2 linked regions of the Callithrix jacchus genome follow. The protein of the gene in region 2 interacts with the protein of the main gene of each other region in a biochemical or structural test. Links are inferred from orthologs where the notes say so. Each region holds a gene or a part of one and is shown on either strand. Other genes may lie near its edges. The genes, in order: ELANE and SERPINF2.

Region 1 (4,231 bases), on a different chromosome or scaffold from region 2:
CGGGCGGAAGCCCCCAGGCTTGGGTAACCGACCTCGTCCCAGCCTCTGGGCCTCTCACCAGCACCCCTGCCAGGTGGCCACCCACCCAGCCCCTGGCTCAGGCGGGGAGGGCACGGGGAAGCTCAGCGGGGCAGAAGGGTGGGTGACAGTGTCACAGCCCCGGCTGGTGTCCGAGGACTGACCGTGAGCCTCGGTGACAGTGAGTTCCCGTTGTCAGCAACAGCCGGGGTGGGCGAGAGGGAGAGGCCAGGCCTGGGGGTGAGCCCTGAGGTTCAGGGAGCAAGGCTGGAGGGAGCCCCCAAATCCCCATCCAGCTGTGGGTCCAGAGCCCTGGGCTGAACTCGTGGCTCTGCCCGTGGGGAAGGCCTGGGTTTCCTCATCCCAAACGGGAGCCCTGGGAAAGGTCAGGGGAGTGCCTGCTGCGGTGTGAGTGCCCGACACGGCCGCACGTGGCTGTTACCCCGGTGCCCGGGGTAAACTGAGGCAGGCGAGGGCAACCCCTGTCGAGGCCCCTCAGGACTAGTTTTGGCAGATTTGGCAAAAACACAGCAATGCTCAGTTAACTTGGAATTTCCAGTAAGTATATCCTGGGCATCGTTTGAGACAGATTCAGATTTTAAAAAAACGTGGAGACCAGCGCGGCCAACACGGTGAAACCCCATTTCTACTGAAAATACAAAAAAATTAGCCAGCCTCGGTGGCTCACACCCGTAATCCCAGCACTTTGGGGGGGCTGAAGTGGGTGGATCCCCTAAGGTCAGGAGTTCGAGACCAGCCTGATCAACATGGTGAAACACTGTCTCTCCCAGCTAATTGTAAAAAGGCAAAAATTAGCTGGGCGGGATGGTGGGCACCTGTAATCTCAGCTACTCAGGAGGTTGAGGCAGGAGAACTGCTTGAACCCGGGAGGTGGAGGTTGCGGTGAGCCGAGATTGTGCCCCCTGCACTCCAGCCTGGGCGACAGAGCGAGGCTCGGTCTCCAAATAAATAAAACCATGTTGATGATCTGACATTCGAATGCAATTGTGAGTCCCCTCCGGAGCCAACCCCAGCCTCTTGTCCCCCTTTGCCCCCCTTTTCACCAACCCCCTGTGCCAGGGGAGAGGAAGTAGGGGGTGCCAGCCGGCTGTGGGGCAATGCAACGGACTCCCGGCACAGAGCTATAAGAGAAGCCGGGCTGTCAAGGACGGGCAGAGACCCCGGAGCCCCAGCCCACCATGACCCTCGGCCGCCGACCCTCCTGCCTCTTTTTTGCCCGAGTCCTGCTGGCCTTGCTGCTGGGGGGTGAGTCTGCGTGTCCATCCTCCCGCTGCACCGTCTGTCCTGGGTGTCCGCTCCCACATCTCCACACGGACCCCACATCCTCATGGGGGAGGTGCCAGCTGGGACGAGGAGACCAGGAGAAGGCAAAGACACACCAGGAGCCCAGAGCTGGGGGTTTGCAAACCTGAGGGTCACTGGGCACCCTTTGGGTTCAAGTCCAGATTCAGCTGTGCCTTGGCAGGGGGACCATGGGCAGCTCCCGTTGCCGCTCTGTGCCTCAGTTTCCCCATCTGAACATCAGGCGTGTGAACAGCCCTGATCCCATGGGTTCCTGGTGGGGGACTCAGGGGCCCCATGGCCGGGAATGAAGGGGCACCTTGGCTGGCACTGAGCACCCGCACCCTGTGTGTCCCCAGGCCCCGCGCTGGCCTCAGAGATTGTGGGGGGCCGGCCGGCCCGGCCACACGCCTGGCCCTTCATGGTGTCCCTGCAGCGGCGCGGAGGCCACTTCTGCGGGGCCACCCTGATCGCGCCCAACTTCGTCATGTCCGCCGCGCACTGTGTGAACGACGTGTGAGTACCCGGGAGCGCACCTGCCTGGCTGGGACCCCCCACGTCCCAGTGTGTGGGATGGGTGGGGGCGAGGCCGGGGCCCCGGGACTGCTGGGAGGCCTATCCTGGGCCTGCAGGGACCCCATGAGCCCCTTCCCCATAGGGCCCATCGCGGGCTGGGGATGACAAGGCGAGGCTGAGCCCTGACCCCCCCAGGGCACCCCCCCACCTCTGCCTCTCCCTCCCCTGCAGAAACTTCCGCTTGGTGCAGGTGGTGCTGGGTGCCCACAACCTGAGGCGGCGGGAGCCGACCCGCCAGACCTTCTCCGTGCAGCGCGTCTTCGAGAACGGCTTCGACCCCACGAGGCTGCTCAACGACATCGTGCTTCTCCAGGTGCCGCTGGATGGGGTGGAGAAGGGATGCCCGGGGTGGGGGCACCGGGGTGGAGGCCAGAGCCTGGAGAGGGTGGAGGCAGAGACAGAGACAGAGGGGCCTGTCAGGGGCCGCTTGTGGGGACCTGGCGTGGAATCTGGGCTGTCCTGGACGAGGTCCTCCCCTCTCTGTGCCTCAGTCTTCATTCTGTGAAATGGGGAAGTACCCGCCAGGGGCTGTCCAGGGATTAGATGAGAAAGAGCAGGGAAGCATAGATCTGCTGTCAATCAACAAACTTACTGTGACTCCTGTTGTCTCTCCATTCACCGGCCCTGTGGCCGAGGGCAGGGGCCGTCTCTGTCTTTGGGAAATGGGGCAGAAGCCCCCACCTTTCCATCTCTGTCCCGGCTCACAGTTATGACCCCCGGAGAGGCTCAGAAGGAGAGTCTGATTGTCACCGCCCGCTGCGGCCTCCACCTCCTGGGCTCAAACGATCCTCTCACCTTGGCCTCTAGGGTAGCTGCACCCACAGGTGCGTGCCACCACTTCCGGCTGATTTTTTTTTTTTTTTGAGACAGAGTTTCCCTCTTGTTACCCGGGCTGGAGTGCAATGGCGCGATCTCGGCTCACCGCAACCTCCGCCTCCTGGGTTCAGGCAATTCTCCTGCCTCAGCCTCCCGAGTAGCTGGGATTACAGGCACGCACCACCATGCCCAGCTAATATTTTGTATTTTTAGTAGAGACGGGGTTTCACCATGTTGACCAGGATGGTCTCGATCTCTTGACCTCATGATCCACCCGCCTCGGCCTCCCAAAGTGCTGGGATTACAGGCGTGAGCCACCACTCCCGGCCCTGATTTATTTTTTTGAGGTGGAGTGTTACCCTGTTGCCCCGGCTGGAATACAGCAGTGGGATCTCAGCTCACTGCAGCCTCCACCTCCCGGGTTCGAGCAGCTCTCCTGCCTCTGCCTCCCAGGTAGCTCAGATTACAGGTGCCTGGCTAATTTTTGGAATTTTTAATAGAGATGGCGGTTTCACCATGTTGGTTGGGCTGGTCTTGAACTCTTGATCTCCGGTGATCCGCTCCCCTTGGCCTCCAAAGTGCCGGGATCACAGGCATGAGCCACTTCCTGGTCACGTGGCTAATTTTTTTTTTTTTTTTTCCCTTTGAGAGGGAGTCTCACTCTGTCACTCAGGCTGGAGTGCAGCGGCTCAGTCTCAGCTCACTGCGACCCCCACCTCCCGGGTTCAAACTATTCTCCTGCCTCAGCCTCCCCAGTAGCTGGGATTACAGGCATCCACCACCACACCCGGCTAATTTTTGTATTTTTAGTAGAGACGGGGTTTCACCGTGTTGGCCGGGCTGGTCTCGAACTCCTGACCTCAACTGGTCCTCCCACCTTGGCTTCTCAAAGTACTGGGATTACGGCCATGAGCCACCGCCCCCGGCATTTCATTTTTATTTTGTAGACATGGGGTTTTGCCACGTGGCCCAGGCTGGTATTGAACCCCGGGCCTCAAGTGATCCTCCTGCCTCGGCCTCCTAAAGTGCTGGGTTGACAAGCGTGAGCCGCCGCGCCCGGCCATAGTTTTTTTTTATTATTAATTGAGCGCCTACTGTTTCCTGCACTCAAGCTACAACCAGGGACAACCTCCAACACTGAGCCTTGGTAGCTGCTCCCACTCTGTAGATGGGGAAACTGAGGCTCGGGTTGGGGAGCACATTGAAGGGTGGGTGTCCTGCTCTGCAGGATCCCAGAACCACAGCGGAGTCTGAGATGGGGAAACTGAGGCTCGGAATGGGGAAACTGAGGCTCGGGTTGGGGAGCAGATTGAAGGGTGGGTGTCCTGCTCTGCAGGATCCCAGAACCACAGCGGAGTCTGAGATGGGGAAACTGAGGCTCGGAATGGGGAAACTGAGGCTCGGGTTGGGGAGCAGATTGAAGGGTGGGTGTCCTGCTCTGCAGGATCCCAGAACCACAGTGGAGTCTGAGATGGGGAAACTGAGGCTCAGGTTGGGGAGCAGATTGAAGGGTGGGTGT
Region 2 (4,417 bases):
CTGTCTCTACTAAAAATACAAAAATTAGCCTGGTGTGGTGGCAGATGCCTATAATCCCGGCTACTCTGGAGGCTGAGGCAGGAGAATCACTTGAACCCAGGAGGCGGAGTTTGTGGTGAGCCAAGATTGCACCATAGCACTCCAGCATGGGCGACAGAGCGAGACTCTGCTCAGACAAACTAACAAACAAATCACCTGGAAGACTTGTAAATAAGCAGATTCCCCTGCCCAGTCCCTGAGATCTGATGCACACAGACCGACGGGTGGGAGCCTGGGAATCTGCAGTTTTTAACCCAGCAGCCTGGTGGAGGAGGTACCCTTGGAGAACCCCTGGAGTACCATGTTCCTACTGGCCTCCCATCTCTCTTTGTCTGGACAAGTGGTTCCAGGGTACCTAGTGCCAGGTGAGACAGCGCCAGGGCCACACTGAGGGGTGACAGGATGAGGTTGGGGCTGGTGGAGGTTTCAGCCACCAGGGAAAACAGGTCAGCAGTGAAGGCCATCATGGCCTGGGCCAGACTGTGGGTCTGCTGTGGGGTGGGTTCTCCGCTGCAGTCTCTTGGGGGACTCTTAGGGGCAGTCCGGCCACCAGGCTCCTGCGGGGACAGATGGGGGGCAGAGAGATCAAGGGGTCAGCTCCAGGTTCTGTGTTGCAGGTCCTGAGGACAGTAGGGCCTGGTCACAGCCCAAGGGGAGAGGGGGTGTCTGACGGAGGGCACTGGCATTCTGGGGCCTGGCGCCCACCTATGGTCCTCCCCACCCTCTGTCCCTCCTGGCCTCCAGATTCCAGAGCCTTGGCCTTGGTACGCCCGCCGCCCTGCTGCTGCGGCTGCCTTCCGCTAGCCCCGCCCACTCTTCCCCAGCCCCACCTGGTTACCTGGTTGTCCAGCTTGAGGAAGGTAAGCGGGAGCACCTTCTTCTGGGTTGGCCCCATAGTTAGCTGCAGAACGGAGGAAGCAGCTGGAGTGTGACCCTCCCACAAGGCCCCACCCTGCCCAGGCCACTGGTGAGACCCCAGGGCCTTCCCCGTTAGGGCTCCTCGCTTCCCAGTACCTGCTGGCCCACGGGCTCCATGGCGCTCACAGGGGAGAACTGTAGAAAAAGGGGTGAGGCTAGGAGGGCCCCCTGGAAGCCAAGCCCTCCCTCCACACAAGTGCCCCTCTTCTCCCCCTCCGCCCGCCCCACCTGGACGTCAGCCCAGCCTCACCATGGAGCAGGAGCTGAGCAGCAGGAGCCCCCAGAGCAGCACCATGTTCCTGTGGCAGGGACAGAAGGTATGTTACCATCTCTGTCCCCACGCCCGCCAGGGACTCCTACCCACACGCTCACAGACACCGAGTCACCAGCGCCCAGGGGAAGAAGCAGGTTCCAGAGTGAGAACAGCACTCATGCAGCGGCTCCCCTCCTGTGGGGCAGGACAGCCCTCCCAGCTCCTTCCCCCTTAGTTTCTGGTCTTTCACATTCCGTGCACTAAAAGTGTTTTGGTTAATAGGAGGGAAATAGCAAAACAAAAACGTTCCCCTCCTTCCAGGCCCTGCACTGAGCAGACTTGCATCTCAATCCAGACTGCCTCTTGCAAAGGACCTCGGCACTCCCTGTAACCCCACCAGGCTTGGCGTTACCTTTAAAATGGTGGCCTGAAGGCCAGGCGAGGTGGCTCATGCCTATAATCCCAGCACTTTGGGAGGCCGAGGCGGGTGGATCACGAGGCCAAGAGATTGAGACCATCCTGGTCAACAAGGCGAAACCCCGTCTCTACTAAAAATACAAAAATTAGCTGGGCATGGTGGTACGCACCTGTAGTGCCAGCTACTCAGGATGCTGAGGCAGGAGAATTGCTTGAACCCAGGAGGTGGAGTTTGTGGTGAGCCGAGATCACGCCATTCACTCCAGTCTGGGTAACAACAGCGAAACTCTGTCTCAAAAAAAAAAATAAAATAGAATAAATAAAAATAAAAATAAAATGGTGGCCTGAGTCCCTCAGTCCTCTCGCATGCTCGGTGAGGACCAAAACAAGGCCGTCTGTGTGGCCGGGCACGGTGGCTCACGCCTGTCATCCCACCACTTTGGGAGGCTGAGGCAGATGGATCACCTGAGGTCAGGTGTTCGAGACCAGCCTGGCCAACATGGAGAAACCCCATCTCTACTAAAAATACAAAAATTAGCTGGGCGTGGTGGCATAAGCCTGTAATCCCAGCTACTCGGGAAGCTGAGGCAGGAGAATCGCTTGAACCTGGGAGGTGGAGGTTGCAGTGAGCCGAGATCACGCCACTGCACTCCAGCCTGGATGACAGAGTGAGACTCTGTCTCAAAAAAGGAAGATAAAATAAGGCTGTCTTTGTAAACTGTGAGCACAATGCTTGGCACTCACCGATGGCTGGGTTCGGCTTGGCTCAAGGCCGCCTCTTCCGGGAAGCCTGCCCTAAAGCCTCCACCCCAGAGCTCCCGCCCAACCTGCTGTGTCCTCTGAGCCAGTCTTTTCAGGCCCATCAGGTCTTGCCTACAAGGCTGGACATATTTCTGAGGCCCTGAGGTCTCAGCAGGGCTGGCGAGGCGACTGGAGAGCTGCCTTCTGACCCAGCAGCAGAGCCCAGTGAATGACTCCGGCCAGAGCCGCCTGTGGACTTAGGAGAATCACAGACCGTGACCCTGACCATGCTGGCTCTGGGAAGGGCAGGGGTGGGTCTCAGGAGGACAAGCCAGAGCAGGTGTTACAGCCTCCCCCCAACCCCATCTCAGGGCCAATCCTTCCGAGGGTCCTTCTGTGGCCCCTGGCCCCACCCCTATTGCACACAAGCGCTCTGACCAGGCACCATCTCGGACCTGGGCGTTTGAATCTTCTTGCCAAGAACAGGCTCCAGTGTTTTGGGTCCCAGAGGTACTTCTCCCGGAGCCCCCGCCTTGGCTCCGCACTGCCAGAGGAGGCTGGGGAGTGACAGGCCGGAATCAATCCAGCCCAGACCCCTCAGTGGGGAAGACAGCTCCCTGCCTCCTCTGCCGCCCAGGGAGCAGGCCGAGCCACCCACCTCCCCCGTACCTCTGCCGGCTCCTTGCTGCTGCACTCGAAGTTCCTCTGGCCCCACTTGGGTGCTCCCCACCCTCTGCACAGGCTCCGGCCGGCCCGGCCCACCCCTCCGCCCACCGGGACCTTTACTCTCAGCCAACCCCGTGGAGAGTGCTTTCTCTTCTGGTAAACATTGACTGGCACATCCGGTTAAACATTGATCTTGAAGCCTGAAGCCCCTTTCCCCCAGGCGTGTGATCCTGAGGCAGGACCCCATGGATTTGGGTCCCACCTGAGCCTGGAAAGAGGTTCAGGAGGAGAGAGATGAAGAGGCTGGACCTGGGTGTCCACCCACCCCCACCTTACAGACCCGGGATAGAATGCCCACCCCCACCTTACAGACCCGGGATGGGACGCCCACCCTCACCTTACAGACTTGGGATGGGATGCCCACCTTACAGACCCAGGATGAGATGCCCACCTTACAGACCCGGGATGGGATGCCCACCTGACCTTATGGACCCGGGATGGGACGCCCACCTTACAGATCCGGGATGGGATGCCCACCTCACCTTACGGACGTGGGATGGGACACCCACCCTCACCTTACAGACCCAGGATGGGACGCCCACCTCTTCTTACAGATCCGGGATGGGACGCCCACCCCCACCTTACAGACCCGGGATAGAATGCCCACCCCCACCTTACAGACCCAGGATGGGACGCCCACCTCACCTTATGGACCCAGGATGGGACACCCACCTCACCTTATAGACCTGGAATGGAACGCCCACTCCACCTTACAAGCCCAGATCCAAGTTGGCTGCCTTCAGACCAAGCCTGGAAGGCAGGGGTGAGGGAGGAGAGATGGGAGGGGTCACCTCTCTGTGTCCTGCCTCCCCACAGCAGTGTCTCTTTCCCCTAACCCAGAGTGAGGGTCCTGGAAACACACCTGAGTAGGCTGCATGAACCAGAAGGCTTGCAGCCCATGCCGATCAGGCTGCCTCCCACCCCCATGGGCGGCTCTTAACTGCCCTGGAAACTGCCAGGTCTCCCCTTGCCCACCATCGAGATAAGCCTCAGGCTGGGCATGGTGGCTCACACCTGTAATCCTAAGTTTGGGAGGCCAAAACGGGAGGGTCGATTGAGCCCAGGAGTTGGAGGCCAGCTTGGGCCACATACCTTACAGACCCGGGATGGGACGGTGAGGCTGCAACTCTTGGAAAAACACACAAGACAAGCCACAGTTCATCCCATGGCCCTTCCAGAGGATTTATTGGTCATATTTACATCTATTGCAAATTGTGAGGAGGCAGCAGGTGCCATCCCAGGCTTCAGCTCCATTCTCGAATGTGAGGCTGAGGCACAGAGATGGTTCTTCTCACCCCTCCCCTCAGGGTCATGAAGCCCAGC

The links.
Region 1: of the proteins of SERPINF2 (region 2) and ELANE, one has a biochemical effect on the other in vitro, tested with the Homo sapiens proteins (2 studies listed by BioGRID). The link is inferred for Callithrix jacchus from reciprocal best matches to the Homo sapiens genes SERPINF2 and ELANE.

The regions. Positions count from the first base shown.
Region 1 is NC_133523.1:797,237-801,467, forward strand, and holds the start of ELANE (neutrophil elastase), read left to right. Parts: upstream 1-1,192; 5' UTR 1,193-1,217; coding exon 1,218-1,284; intron 1,285-1,679; coding exon 1,680-1,836; intron 1,837-2,067; coding exon 2,068-2,209; intron 2,210-4,231. UniProt on the Homo sapiens protein: Serine protease that modifies the functions of natural killer cells, monocytes and granulocytes. Inhibits C5a-dependent neutrophil enzyme release and chemotaxis. Promotes cleavage of GSDMB, thereby inhibiting pyroptosis. Promotes blood coagulation.
Region 2 is NC_133506.1:66,498,854-66,503,270, forward strand, and holds the start of SERPINF2 (alpha-2-antiplasmin), read right to left. Parts: upstream 3,076-4,417; 5' UTR 3,038-3,075; intron 2,926-3,037; exon of another isoform or gene 2,824-2,925; intron 1,916-2,823; 5' UTR 1,798-1,915; intron 1,257-1,797; 5' UTR 1,253-1,256; coding exon 1,208-1,252; intron 1,093-1,207; coding exon 1,054-1,092; intron 941-1,053; coding exon 878-940; intron 597-877; coding exon 395-596; intron 1-394.